4 linked regions of the Cricetulus griseus genome follow. The protein of the gene in region 3 interacts with the protein of the main gene of each other region in a biochemical or structural test. Links are inferred from orthologs where the notes say so. Each region holds a gene or a part of one and is shown on either strand. Other genes may lie near its edges.

What was found.
Region 1: the proteins of Map3k7 (region 3) and Trim31 form a complex in vitro, tested with the Homo sapiens proteins (2 studies listed by BioGRID, with this or other methods). The link is inferred for Cricetulus griseus from reciprocal best matches to the Homo sapiens genes MAP3K7 and TRIM31.
Region 2: of the proteins of Map3k7 (region 3) and Usp4, one has a biochemical effect on the other in vitro, tested with the Homo sapiens proteins (2 studies listed by BioGRID). The link is inferred for Cricetulus griseus from reciprocal best matches to the Homo sapiens genes MAP3K7 and USP4.
Region 4: the proteins of Map3k7 (region 3) and Nod2 form a complex in vitro, tested with the Homo sapiens proteins (2 studies listed by BioGRID). The link is inferred for Cricetulus griseus from reciprocal best matches to the Homo sapiens genes MAP3K7 and NOD2.

What each region holds. Positions count from the first base shown.
Region 1 is NW_023276806.1:228,842,461-228,846,614, forward strand, and holds the start of Trim31 (E3 ubiquitin-protein ligase TRIM31), read right to left. Parts: upstream 2,842-4,154; coding exon 2,443-2,841; intron 2,049-2,442; coding exon 1,953-2,048; intron 244-1,952; coding exon 13-243; intron 1-12.
Region 2 is NC_048597.1:216,544,461-216,548,026, reverse strand, and holds part of Usp4 (ubiquitin carboxyl-terminal hydrolase 4), read right to left. Parts: intron 2,475-3,566; coding exon 2,250-2,474; intron 1,063-2,249; coding exon 979-1,062; intron 422-978; coding exon 327-421; intron 1-326.
Region 3 is NC_048595.1:110,090,234-110,093,799, forward strand, and holds part of Map3k7 (mitogen-activated protein kinase kinase kinase 7), read right to left. Parts: intron 3,003-3,566; coding exon 2,874-3,002; intron 980-2,873; coding exon 849-979; intron 1-848. UniProt on the Homo sapiens protein: Serine/threonine kinase which acts as an essential component of the MAP kinase signal transduction pathway. Plays an important role in the cascades of cellular responses evoked by changes in the environment.
Region 4 is NC_048596.1:164,275,386-164,278,951, reverse strand, and holds part of Nod2 (nucleotide-binding oligomerization domain-containing protein 2), read right to left. Parts: intron 3,424-3,566; exon of another isoform or gene 1,655-3,423; intron 1,412-1,654; coding exon 945-1,411; intron 1-944. UniProt on the Homo sapiens protein: Pattern recognition receptor (PRR) that detects bacterial peptidoglycan fragments and other danger signals and plays an important role in gastrointestinal immunity.

The sequences.
Region 1 (4,154 bases), on a different chromosome or scaffold from region 3:
AGAGAGACTTACATCCAGTAGCTCCATGGGCGGTGCTTGTAACCTATTTTTTAGGGATCTTGAGAGCTTCCTGAGGGAAGTCAACTGCTCATTAGTCGCAGTGACATACTGTCCTATTTGCTTGGCTCCCTCGTGCTCCAGCCAGTCCAACCTGGACAGGAGGAATCTCTCTTCCTCTTCCAATCTCAGGTGCAGGTGTTTGAATTCTTCAAGGATCTTTAGTTTTTCTAGATGTATCTGGGCCTGGAGACAAAGGAAGGGATGCAAAGATGGGGGACGGGCATGAGAGAGGGTCCTCCAAGCTTCCTTTAAGCCCTTCATTCACTTTTTAAATCAACCATGAATGAATGAATGATCAGTCAGTTACGGGCAAAGTCTCACTATATAACCCTGGCTAGCCAGGAACTCAGTAAGTGCAACAGGTTGGCCTTCGATTCACAGAGATCCACCTGCCTCTGCCTCCTAAGTGCTGGGAATCAAAGGCACGTACCACCTGGCACTGTTCACTCTTTGGGAATATTTAAAGATTATGCTGAACAGCTTGCTGGGGGCATACCTGTGGGAAAGGGGGGTGGGGCAAGGAGATCAAAGCACTTCCTGTGCAAATTTAGGCTCTCTCTCTCTCTCTCTCTCTCTCTCTATATATATATATATATAATATATATATATATATATATATATTGCCTTCAAGTACATCAGCTGGATGAACAACTATGCAATCTTAACACTTGGAAAGTACAGACAGGAGATTCAGGAATCAGAGGCCAGCCTGAACTACTTGAGCCACTCTCTCAACAAACAACCTACCAACATCGCAATCGAAAACCCAGGATAAGATTGTAGTTCAATTGATAGGGTGCTTGCTTAGAATGCATCCTCAGCCCTGCATGATCTGGGCATGGCAATATAGACCTGCAGTAATCTGGACATGGTGATATAGCCCTGCAATTTCAGTACTGGGGGAAGGATGAAAGGATCAGAAGCTCAAGGCTCTTCTTTTCTGTATAACAATCTCTAGCTTATGCTACATAAGATACTGTGTCTAGGAGCTGGAGACACGGCTTGGTAAAGGAGTTTGTTGCTCCTGCAAAGGGCTCAGAGTCAATTCCCAGAACACACATGGTAGATCCCAACCATCCTAATTCCAATTCCAGGGATCCAATACCCTTTTCTGATCTCCATGCCAGGCATGCATCTGGTATACAAACAAAGCATTCACTCACATAAAATTAAATCTAAAGATAAATAAATAAATAAATATTCTTAAAAGTCGATGGAGGAAGAACACAGACAAAAGAAAGAGAGAAGGAAAGAAAGGAAGGAAGGAAGGAAGGAAGGAAGGAAGGAAGAAGCTTAACTGCCTTCATACTAAATGTTCCATGGATGTACAAAAACCAACCAATCAAACCACCAGGACCTGGAGAGATGGCTCAGGGGTTTAGAATGCGTCCAGAGGACCTGAATTCAGTCTCCAGCACCTAGGAAGAGCAGGTCACAAATGCCTGTAATTCCAGTGCCTTTGGTTTCTGCCAATATTTGCACACACATGGCTTTCACTCACACAGACACATGCATATGCACATAAATAAAAATAATAAAAAACAACCTTTTAAGAAAAGCAATCAAAGACAGGCAGAGACATTTTGTGGTGCCACAGTCTCTCCATCTTTTCTTACAGTGTAACCAGGCTGTAGTGAAAAGGGCTTGGGTGACGCAATGTGCGGGCAGTCCTTACAAAGCCCACTGTGGGTGGAGGAATAGGAGACCTCCTGGTTCCCTGGTGCAGCACCCGGGCAGGTAGATGAGTACAGCTCAGGCACCACACTCCCTGCCCCTCGACACTGATACCGTGTCAGCAGGTCTTTGTTCCGGCTTGGTGTATAAGGAATGCTAGGAGTTTCAACAGAGCTGCCTCAACTTCCTCAGAAGTGTTTGGAGTGAATATTTCTTACCCTGAACACCTGGATTGCCCCTTCACTTCGCTTTTTCTCTTCAATTATTTCTTTGTCCTTTTGGCCCAAATCCTGAATTTGTGACTCTATCAGCACCTGTGGGGAGAGGATACTTCAGTCAGGCTCTGCCTCTAGGAATGTCATTATTATCAGCCCCCTTTTTCTTTCCCATGGATCAAACAATTTTTTCCCTTGTACTATGTGGTCCTGAGGGCCAAACTTGGGTCCTCAGACTTGGTGGCAAGTGCCTTACACTCCGAGTTATCTCTCCTGCTCCCAAAGCACTATTCTGATTCTTCTTCTTCTTCTCACCTTGGTTACAGACTGGCATTTCCCAGAACTTGGCTCTTTGAGCCCACTGGGCCTGGCTACATATAGCCAATTCAAGTGCAGCGGTGAGTACCAACCAGCTGGCACAGGCAGCTGCTCCTATGTCCTCAGGGAGTTCTCCTCTGCTGGGCTGGGGATAGAGAAGGAGCCAGGTACCTACCTTGTAGTTCTGGTCAGCCTCATCTATCAAGGTGACATTGTGGGACTTATGGCTCCTGGAGTCACGGCACACCAGACAGAGGAACTCCCCGTCCTGCTCACAGAAGTAATGGAATTTTTCCTTGTGTTTAAGACATCTTTTCTCTTCCCCTTCTGGTTGGAATTCAGTGGGATCCATAGACCGGATTGTCTCTGCAAGACTAGCCAACTGCTTGTTGGGCCTGAACGTATCCTTACTCACAGTGACCTTGCAGAGGGGACACTGGAGGTTTTCTGTAGTTTTCCCAACCTGGATGATACATTGCTGGCAGAAGTTGTGCCCACAGTCAATGGTGACAGGATTCTGTAGGATCTCCAGGCAGATGGGGCAGGTCACCTCCTCCTGTAGTTTGTTTGCCATGAAGGAGCAGCAGGGCCAAATTGAAGTGTGAAAGCTCAGAAGTCTAAGGCAGGCACAGGTGCTGGGAAGAGAAAATGCAACAGGAAGCAGCCGTTAAAAAGTGTCACCACTGGAAGACCACAGAGAGACAAAATGAAGGGGGGGTAAAGCAAATGAACAGCAACAACACAAAAGTAAAACTTAAATGGGGAATATTGTAAAGAGAAAAGACAGGTAGTTGGACCATCCTACCTCACTGTCTCTCAAAAGCAAACAGATACTGTGAACTCATGCTTCCTGTAAAGCAGACCAAGGTTCCTGGACCTTGAACTAATTAAATAGATGTTTCCAAAGCAGTTGTCTGAGAACAAAAGAACCAAGTGTCAAAGTCTACTCAACTGCAGGTAGGGAGTGGAGCTGCTGACTGGCAGCCCCAGAAAGGTGGGGCTTATCTAACCCCATTGATCTCTTACTTCCCCCTCCTGTCTTCTATTGGGTTTCCTCACTGTCTCTGAGCCATCTTTTGTTCTGTTTGTCATGCCTGCTTCTTCCTCAGTCTCTGTTCACAGACCCCTAGCTTACTCAACCTGTTTCTTTTATCCTAACTAGGAAAGCATCAGCCAGTGTCATCCATGTAACCTTAGTAGCTCAACTCTTCACTTCTTAACAGTTCATCTTGCTCTTTGCTCCCAGGAACACAGTGTGTCTCCCTTCCTTTCCACTCCCCGTCCCACCAGCCCAGTCTCTCTTCTGTCATTAAAAACCAAACTTTCTTCCTCTCTGGTGGTGACCTCAACTCAGGATCTTTCTCTTGCTATGCAAGCTCTCTAGCACTGAGCAAAACCCCCAGCTCCTGTTAGGGCAATTTCAAAACGTCTGTCTTTATACTTGGTTCTTATTCATGCCCCTCCCACCCCGCCGCCGCCGCCCGCACCACATGACAGCCACTCATTCTTAATCATCCCTTTACTCCCCTAAGTTGGTCCTTCCTTCTACATCAGTGTACTCCGTTATGCCCTCTTAGTTCCACCACCCACTCATTCCCTCCCCCTTGTTCATGGTCTCCCAGCCCACTGATTGCTATTGAATATTTTTAATTAAAAATACTTTTATTTATTCATTGATAATTTCATATGTGTACAATTCTATCTTGATCCGTACCCCAATCACTCATCTTACTTGCCACTAATCCTTCCAACATGTCACTTTCCCAGTTCTATTCTCTCTTCATATATATTGTTTTTTGTTTGTTTGTTTCTTGTTTTTTGATTTCTCTGTGTAGCCCTGGCTGTCCTGGAGCTTGCTCTGTAAACCAGGCTGGCCTTGAACTCAAA
Region 2 (3,566 bases), on a different chromosome or scaffold from region 3:
CCAGGCTGGCCTCAAACCCAGAGATCTGTTTGCTGGGATTAAAGTTGTGCGCCAACAGTACATGGTAGAGCTATGACTCTTACTGAGCAAGGAAGCTGAGAGCAGAACCACTGAGCTAGTTCTTTAAGAAACAAACAACTGACCAAAGCTGTGTTTGTGCAATGCTTCTGAGTACTGACAAATGCTCAGTTTCCTGAACGTACATTTCCCTTGGGAGGCACTAGGACAGATACACATGAGCAATGATGTCAGACCTGGGAACACAAACAGGACAAAGCCTCCACAGTGTCCTTCTGGTGATATATCAGAAACTACTAAGTACTTACACAAAAATGTCATCTCGAGGCATAATGTGGCTTAAACCTTCATCCATTTGGAAAATTTTATGGAACCGGTGATTATATACATCTGTGACCACCATCTAAGAATCAAGAGTAAGTACATAAACATGACAGGATGGCTCACAGAGCTCCTACTCACTGATTACAACCCAGAAACAAAGGGCGGAAATGCCCCTCTGTAGTGCTGCCTGCAGAGAAACACCATGTGAGTGGTCCCAAGGCTAGGGCCAGGACATGAAAGGGAGGAACATGGCTGTTAGCAGCACTGGCATGCTGGTAACATCTGCCCTCCAGTGGTAGGCATGGTGAGAAGCGAGCGCTGGTAGAGACTGTCATTGTCTAAAGACCCCGGTGGCTTTCCAGAGCTGGTCTCCACACCCCACACAGCACACAATGATGGAAGCAGAGCCCTACTCTTGTCCCTCTGACAATGGGCAGCATCATTGCAGGGGAGGAAAAATGGTGTTTCCCTGTGCTGGAAGGGATCATGATCAAGGCCAGAAGCCACGAGGAATCAAGACATACACCAATGATGACATTCGTGCTGTCCAATAACAACCTTCCAAAAGTGGCTAAAAGTTGGAAAGGAAACTCCAAGGGGCCATGAAGTGACTTAGCCATGTTAAGGGCCACTTACATTTTCTGCAGCAATGCCAGACAATTTAGCAAGTGCTTCACACAGGTCAGATATGGCCCCCATCAATGGCACAGTCACACGGCACTGCAAAGGAGAAACAGGCAAGGTGATAGGAGTACTCCAAGGGACATGAAGTGACCTTGGAGAAGCACACATCATGGGGACATAAAGACCCTTCCAGAGGCAGTGTGTGGCCCAGGTGAGTTAAGTAGACAGAGCCAAGTCTTTGATATTAGCAAAGCTTCAACATTCAGGCACAGTCAGCCACCTCTTTCTTTCCCAAGCATTGTTTTTGTTTATACTTTACTTTTGGATTAGGTCACTACTCTCCACCCTCTCCCCCTCCAGACAGGGTTTCTCTGGATTTGCAGACCAGGCTGACCTCGAACTCAGACATCCTCCTGCCTCTGCCTCCCAAGTGCTGGCCTGAGTGCTGGGATTAAAGGCATGTGTGTCGCACCTCCTCTTATGTCCTTTAAAGAATTGTTCAAAGCATAGAAATTGCCTTTGATACTATGTATTACCTTCCTTTCTTTTCCTTTTTGAGACAGAGCCTCACTGTGTACCCTGGCTAGCCTGAAATTCATTATGAAGACCAAGCTGGCTTCAACTTGACAGAGATCTTTTCTAACTGCCTCTGCTCCCCTTGAGGAAATGTGTGCACCATCACACCCAGAGAATATTGCCTTTGCTTAGAAAGTGGGTGGTGGGGTGTCAGGCCAGTGATAGGACACACCTTTAATCCCAGCACTCAGGAGGCAGAGGGAGTTGGATTTCTGTGTGTTCGAGGCTAACCTGTTATACAGAGTGAGTTCCAGAAAAGGCTCCAAAGCTGCACAGAGAAACTGTGTCTTGAAAAAAAAAAAAAAACAAAGCAACAACAACAAAAGAAAAACAAAACAAAAAAGAAATTTTTAAAAAGTTCAGAAGACTAAGTGAAAACACTTTGAGCCACCAAAAGAATTGGACACGAAGAGCCAATGACCTTAAACCATTAAGCAGGTAAACCAGGTTATTACAATTTCATAAATAGAAAACAATGAGAAAGTGACAGAGAAGCCCCAAGGACCTTTACAACAGATCCTCAACAATGAATGAGTTTACATAAAGTCTGACAGAGAGAGGTCAAGGGTGCACACACAGACTAAGTCCAAGGGGACCCAGGGACAGAGGGTCAGTCAGTGGAGTTTTTCATGCAGCAGACTGAAAGCAGTCCCATCAGGGACTAGAGTCTGCTCAGCAAGTGGTACCATGAAGAAGAATTCTGTTACCTGGATAGGTCGGCACTGTGGGTCAGCAGGAACCAGAAAGACCTCCATAACTCGATCCTTCTTCAAAGGCAGTGGGAGAGTTAGATAGCAAAACGGGTCAAAAGTCACAGAAACTTTAGCACATTCTGGGCAAACCAAAGTAGACTTGAAAAGGCCATGGAAAGTGTCCACAATCACAGAATCATTCCTCAGCCTGTGGTTTTCCCAGGCTTCCTTTGCTACCACCTGGATAAAAGAAGAAGGATTAAGCAGGAAATTCTCAACATCCGTCCTTCTCCTCTGCATCCAGAATGCTGCATAACAACACTGAGATGGACCAGAAGGTAGACCACGAACTGTCAAAAGCTTTTAGTGTACCACCCTCCCACCACAGACCAGCTCTATACCCACAACCATACTTACTGAGACATCAACAGAGAATCTATACAGAATAGGAACCCTGAGAACACTGTAGTCAGACAGATCCAACTGGGGATAGACCAAACCTTTTGTGTTTTTAATGATCTAAAGGACCTTAGGAGAGATCTCTTGTTTTTGTTTTTCAAGACAGCGTTTCTCTGTAGCTTTAGAGGCCTATCCTGGAACTACCTCTGTAGACCTCAAACTCACAGAGATCCACCTGCCTCTGCCTCCCAAATCCTGGGATTAAAGACATGGGCCACCTCCCAGCTCTAAATTTAGTCTTTTTTTTTTTTTTTTTTTTTTGGTTTTTCGAGACAGGGTTTCTCTGTGGCTTTGGAGGCTGTCCTGGAACTAGTTCTTGTAGACCAGGCTGGTCTCAAACTCACAGAAATTCGCCTGCCTCTGCCTCCGAATGTTGGATTAAAGGCGTGCACCACCACCTGCCTGGCCCTAAATTTAGTCTTAATGAGATTATTTTAATAATCACGGAGAGAAGAGGCTAGTTTAGTACACTGGAGACAAAAGACTCAAACTTTCCAGGCCATACTTGGCTACAATACGCCAGTCCAGGCCACCTAATGCGATCCAGCACTTGCCCAATAGGAGTGAGGTTGGAGGTTTTATCATCGGTACCACAAACAAATATCCCAGCTGAGTTGCAAAGAGCAGTAACAATGCTAAGAGCATACTGCCAACACTTTCAAGTTTTTACAACTCTTGAAGTTACTGGCTTGCCAATGCAATACTAAACAAACTAGCTAACTTGAAGAAACCCAGAAGGAAGTATGTTAGGGCTGGGAATGTAGCCCAGTGGTAGAGTGCCTGCCTAGTATTCCAAAGGCCCTGGAGCACTGGGAAAGAAAGGAAAAGGCGACTACAGTTAGCTCCTTTCTGACTAGGAATGCATCCCTGTCA
Region 3 (3,566 bases):
TAAAGATTAAGAACACACCTTATGGAAGCCCCCGGCTCTATGAACTGGGGACATAATACTGAAATTATTTACTGAACAATACAAATAAAATTTAGGGTGAGATTTTTTTCAAATTAGACAAAACATAGGTGAATAGTTATTAATTTGACTTACATAACTTAAAGTTTATGTGTACAAAGTTAAAGCTACCATTTATGGCTCTTGTTACAAAATAAAACCTATTTTCAATAAAGGAAAAAATTACCTTAAAATATTTGAAGTAACCCTAAAGTGTAAGATTTGTAGAGTAGGGAATTTGATTAGCTTTTTAAAAGGGTTCTTCTAAATTAAAAGATTCCATCAAGCCTAGAAAAAGCTTAGATTTTATTGCCATCTGAAAACATTCAATCAAAAGCCAAAATGGGAATCATTAAAATTACTCAAATACATCTCTTAAAATACATCCCCAGCATACTGTAGAAATGACTGTATTTTGATGAAAATCTGACAAACTTAGTTAAGCATGTTATTAATCATATCTATGTAGGCACTGACAAGCCTCACATACCCTATATCAGCATCTCTCACACACTCTGGAACCAAATATTTATCTATAAATGTTAGTAAAGACAGCAATCCTAGAAACCTGTCTAGCCATCTTGTCATTACAGAGACAAACATTTTTCTAAGGTAATGTTTTCTCTTCTGATAATACAAGTAATAAATAAATAAATGCCTATTCTGACTTTAAAAACACAGGAAAGTATAATGCAGGAAATAGTTCCCATTCTTTCATTTTAAAAGTCCAATAAAACTCAGTATATAGTAAAGTCCCCCAAACCCAAGGCCCCTCAAAAGAAGGGTTATACCCGCATCAAGTGAGTCATTATTTTCACAATTTCTTCCATTGAAGGGCGCTGAGAAGGATCTTTAGACCAACAGCGGGTCATCAGACTCTCGATGGGCTTAGGTAAGTTTTTGATCAGTGGTGGTCGAGTACCTATAATTGAAAATTAGAGGAATAAAAGAATTATCTACCCAAAGAACACTGCAAGATTTTTATAGTTTATTTCCAACAATATCTGAACTAGCATTTTTTCTCTTTTAGTTTACCATGTATTGTATCTATATATATTTTCACAAAGGGCAAACTATACCAAAAACTACATTAAATTTGTAACACAGGTGATAAGAACAGTGAGACTAAGACTGCTTGCTTGGGCTAGATGTATGCCTTTAACCAGTGCTTGTGAGGCAGAGGCCAGCAGAACACACAGGGCTGCATAGTGAGTGGGACTCTGTCTCAAAACCCAAACCAAACTGTCATATGCATTCTTTCAAAGAGCAAAGGCCAAATGCATGCATTAGGAAAAATAAGTAGCTGACTTGAGGAAAGATGAATTTTCAGATTATAAAATATTAAATGCATTTGAAAAAAAATCTTCCATTTACAGAAAGTGATCAAACACAGTGTAATGCTCATTGACTTCCCTCAACCATGGTATCACTCTCACAACTTCCCTCAACTATGGTGTCACACTCACTGTTTTCTTCAGCTGTGGTATCACACTCAGTTTTCCCTCAACTCTGGTGTCACACTCACTGTTTTCCTAAACTATGGTGTCACACTCACTGTTTTTCCTTAACTCTGGTATCACACTTAACTTACTTCAGCCAACCAGTATTAGACTCACTGACTTCCCTCAGGGTGTCACACTCACTGACATTTTCAACCATGTTGTTGCACTCACTGACTTCCTTCACCTACAATGTTATACTTACCAACTTTCCTCTGCTGTACTGTTACACTCACTGGTTGCAGTTAACTATTTTACAGGACAGAAAGTGCCAACTTTTTATAATTTATTAACCCTGCAGTGGCACTGGTAAGCTTCCCACACTCAAGAGTGGCTCCAGATACAGTAAGATCTTTATAGGTTAATCAATCAATACGCTAGTTCTTTTACTCTGTTACCTCACTGACAATCACTTGCTGAGAACTGATAGCCAGAGGAAGCAAACTGTCTTGGAAAGCTCCTGTATTTTCTACGACACTATAGGATGTAACAAAGCTGGCAGAGGAAACTGGTAAAACAGCCAAGATTACTCTGATGGTTTTGTTTGGCCAGCCTACAAAAGCTCTAAAGAGTTAGGTGTTTTTTCTTTGATCACCTGTAGACTAGTATACAAGCACTTATTCACTGGAACGATTAGAAGCACGTGAAGTAACAGTGATGCTGTAGTTCCTTATAGAGTTTCTTTATCAAAGAAACTGTGAAGGACCTACTAGTGAGGAAGCTATCTGAACACATTTATGGAAGTCAGAGAGACATAACATTAAGTCACCCTGATGAAAAGTAGGAGCACTTGAATCCAAAGGACCTGCATGTGGATTCCAGCTCCAACACTTATTACTTGTGATGTTAGCACTGTACGCATGGTTGAGAATATACAACTAAAACATGTGTGCAGCACTGAATATTGTGTCCTTTTGAGCTTAAGAAACAACTCTTACCAGCAGTTTTGCTTGAGAGTTGTTTTCCCAGGAGAAAGGGGCCTAGCATCCCAGCTATCTTAACGATATGAGAGATTTCATTTATCTACTTTGCCGCAGTGCTTCTCTAGCCCTGAGAGAGATAAAGGTGCTGGCTAAGTACTGATGGTCTTTCTCTAATCAGTGCAGTTGGCAGCCTCAGGCCTATGCAGAGGAGTCTAAATTCTCCCCACCAGAACCAGAGACAAAGGTATATAGAGTGCTAAAGTAAGGTGGTCTGGTAACAAATAAGTCTACATTTCAGTGTCAGATATACATAGTCTCTGGGGAAGAGGATGGGGGCAGTTTTCCAAATATGAAATATACACAATATATTAAAGAAAAATTTCTTTTGACAAACCATTATGAACAGCCCACATGATTCGGAAAGCTGGGCCACCGATCTCATCAAAGGGTTTCCGGCGTGTTATCACTTCCCAAAGGATAATACCCCAGCTGAAGACATCACACTTTTCACTGTAATTACTACCTACAAAAAAAGGCATTGTCATCTTGAGACCTGTTCCACAGGAATCACAGAAATAACTAGTTTCAAAATTTTTAAAGGAATGGATATTTTGGATAAGAGACTGTCACAGGAAGAATTAAACAATTACTTTCTTAAATGTTTTCAAAATAGAGTTTAATGAAATAAATATAAATAATATACTCAAAATCTACATGAGAAAGCCAGTAATTTTCTACCTTTTCAACAAAATACATTGGCCTTTTTTCTTCTGTGTGCAGACTGATCTCTTTTACAGGCATAATTTAAAACACCTTTATATTTCTGTAAGTTTTCAATTTCTTTTTGAAAAAGGTTTATTTGTTTTTATTTTATGTGCATGAATGATCTTTTGCCTCTATGTATGTCTGTGTACCATGTGTTGCAATGCCCAGAGAGGTCAGAAGAAGTCATCGGGAACCCAACTTCTGAAGTCACAGACCTTTGTGAACCTTCTGTGGGTGCTGGGGATTGAACCTGGGTCCTCTTGCAAGAGAAGCAAGGGCTCTCTGCCTCTAAGTCACTGCTCCAGCCCCTCAACTTCTTTTA
Region 4 (3,566 bases), on a different chromosome or scaffold from region 3:
ACACAGAACCTGCCATACGGTAAGCCTAATAGATTCCGACTAAAGGAACAAGTCAAGGCCAAAGTCCACCACTGACTGCTCCTTCACTACTGCAGATTTCCCAAAACTGTAAAGTAGAGTATCACTATTTTCCATGCTTCCCAGGCAGCCTGAGGACCACCATTTACAGGAAAACAGAAGTTTCAGAAATGCACAGCAATACTTTTCTGCCCTTGCGGTTTCTGTAGAATCACTGCATTTCAGGGGCAGTTACCTGCCAATTCGAACGCAGTTTCATATCTGAAATCCTAGGTGGGCATTTAAACTATATTGGCACACAGTGGGCTATACTATTAAATTCAGGTTTAATATATTGCAGAATTATTCTCCATTGAGCTGTTGATTTGAAGCAGACAGCAATAAAAGTCTGCAAGTACAGAGAGCCACTCAGCAGAAATGACAGCAGCCAGAGATGATGTTAGCAGACTTCCCAGACACGTCTCTAATTGATACATGGATTAACTCAGTGAGTTCTCCCCAAACCCTTGAGCATCAGAGATTAATAGTGTCATTCAATGAGGAAACTGGGATGGGAGAAATGAAGGGTAGAGTCTAAGGCTGGGGTAGAGCAAAAGGCCCCAGCACTGCAAACAAGCAAAATAAAAGAGAAAAGAGAGGAGAACTAGATGGAGAGCTTCTATATAGAAACATCCAGTCACACAAAACTGACCTAGAACCTGAATCATTCTGGCTACTGAGTCCAAGCCCTCACTGCCAAGCCACAGATGCCCCCACCAAAAGTGACTTGCTGGTACAACCAAGAGCAACTTTGACCTGGCTGGTCGATGCTGCATGGGAAATCTCACCAATCATGCTATTCCGTGAGGCTGACTGCACAAGAACAACAGTCTTGGTAACTAAGCAGCCTGCCCCTGTGAATTCTGCTGACACAGGCCACTGCTTACCCTCTGGGATGATGTGAAGATTGGCAGCCTGATCTCATCACATTCATACTGGCTCAGGAATCCTTGCTCTCTTGCCAGCTCCAGCATGGCTTCTACATGGTTGTAGAGTCCCCGGACAATGGCTGGCCGGTGACTCTGCAGGTCTCTGGTTGGTTGAATGGAGTGAGTGTCCCAGCAGCCATGCAGTTCCAGAGTATGACTGTTGGCCTGGGCCTCCTGGACAGCTTCAAGGAGCTTCTGACAGCCCCAATCACCCTTGTTCCAGACTGTGTCCAGTAGGCGCCTGGCAGAATGGGAGAGAGGTTGGCCAGGGAGGCTAAGGCCCTCATAGTCCTCCCAGGACAGCACATCCCAGGATAGCAGCCAGTCCAAGATGCTCTCAAAGCCCTCCAAGGACCCCGAGACCAACAGTGCCACCAGCTGGCTCCTCTGTGCCTGGAAGTCTTCCTGTGAGCACATGTCACAACCTGTAAGAGAGAAGGGGAGGTCAGAGGTCAGAAAATGACTTCTCTAAAAACCAGGCTATGTAGAGAGCAACCTACTCCAAGTCCAAGTGGGCTACAGTTGTGCTCAGGCATTCTCCAGGCTAAGTTCTCTACAAAGTGAGGTCCCAGGATGTCAAGAAACTAGTTGGAGTTCCCACAAGTTTAAAGTAGCCAGACATTTATATCCTCAAGCCCTGGGCTCCCATAGCAATGCTTGCTCTCTACCTTAGGAAGTTTCACAAGGCAGTGTTGACAGGAGAAGTAGTCTCCTGCAGATCAGTTCCCTTCTACAGAGGCAGGCCACACTCACAGTCATATAGCTTTGGAACCACTGGATCCTTTAAGGACATCCTAAGTGCCTTATTAAAACATTGCATTTCCCACTCTCAACTTCTAGAAAGCAGGTGCTGTGGCCAGTCCCATCTACAGAGAGGGAGCTTGAGCTAAAAGAAATTTTGTAGTATTTATCATAGCTTGGAGGGACAGGGCTGGGATTGGAACCCAAGTAGTGGGATTCCTTGCCTGATGCAAACCTTTGTCTCTTACTGGTATCCCCACAGGCCCCCAGCCCTGCCCTCTGCACATAACCTATTATTGCTCCATGGGCAAAGCTAGGGCTTGCAGCAAAGATGTCAATCCAGGTAAAATAGGATGTCAGGGTACACATGAAGTTGGCTTGAAGCCTACTGGTACACCACCCAACAGCAACACACACACTGACACGCGCACACACAGACACGCGCACACACAGACACACACACACACAGACACACAGACACACACACACACACACACACACACACACACACACACACACGCCCTTAGGCCCTTGCTCCCTCCCATGCATTCAGCAACACACACTGCTTGCCACCCTGCTATTGCTATGCTCAGGAGCCAGTACTGAGCTCAGCCTTCATTCAGTCCCAAGTGCTGGGGCTTTGAAAGGAAGGGACCATCAGAAACCTCAGGCAATGGAGATTGCTGAGCTGCAGAGAAAAATCAGAACATTTCAGTGGGCCAGTTTGTCATTGCCACTGTCCAAGATAAGGGCTGGGGCTGTGCCCAGAGAAAATGAAAGCGAAAGAGTACAGGCACAGAGGAAGAGGAACAAAGGTTTCCTTTCACAACCAGGGACATTCTAAGAAGGTCCTGCAGTGGAGAGGGGGCAGCTGGAAATGGTCTAGGGAGTCTAAGCCTTTCCTGTTAGATAGTGGTTATCTTCCCTCTATGGCTGGCTCCCACAGCAGGCTAGATCTCCCTCATTCTGACACCCCCAAAGGTTTGCCCAGCACTGGGTTCAGTGGAAGCCCTGGGGTTGTTAACTCTAAACACACCCATGGAGGCCTGGGGCTGGAATGCTCTGGGGCTATCTTCAATCTCTAACTCAGCACCATGTTACTAACATGAAGGCCGGCAGCCTGGGGCTGGCCAGATGGGCAAAGTGAGGTAGGGAAGCTACCTGAGCCTCTGGCAGCTTAGGAGAGAAGGTATCCCTATTATGGAGCTACTGTAAGCCAGAAGCTGAGAGTTCTCACTGGCCAAGCAGGTCACCCGTGCCCTGGGCTCAATCCAAGCAGAGGATCCTAGAGTAAGGGGTAGGGGGACAACAGCAAGTGCCAGCATGAGCTAGGGCCAAGTCATGGAGTGTTTCTCATCTGTGCAAAACTAGCCATAGTTGGAGCACCATCTAACCCACCACCCCTGCTCAGGTCCTGAGGAAAGTAACTACTGCCCCCCCATCTCCCGCCCCAAGAGAACAGCACACAGGCAAGGGCAAGCACTCTGGCCTGAGGTCTGAGGTGCAGCCGGGAAGTACAGAGGATGGAAAGTGCTAAAATGGGATGCCTGGCTCACTTTATCTTCAGGGTACTGGGTAAGACACTTAATGCTTCCTTCTTCTGCAAGCACATGAGCCAAAAGGCCCAGAGGCATTGCACAGGCAGTCCCTAATCCAGCTGACCCACCCTAGGGGAAATCCCACAAGCTGAGCAGGAAGCCTGAGCTGGCAGCCCAGCACCCAGAACTTGCTAGTTCTTGGCAGTCCTGGCACAAAGCCTGGGACATCTGCACTGGCTTTCAGTCAAAGACCCTAGGGATGTGAGATGTCTCCAATAAATGTGCTTGCCCAGGATAGAAA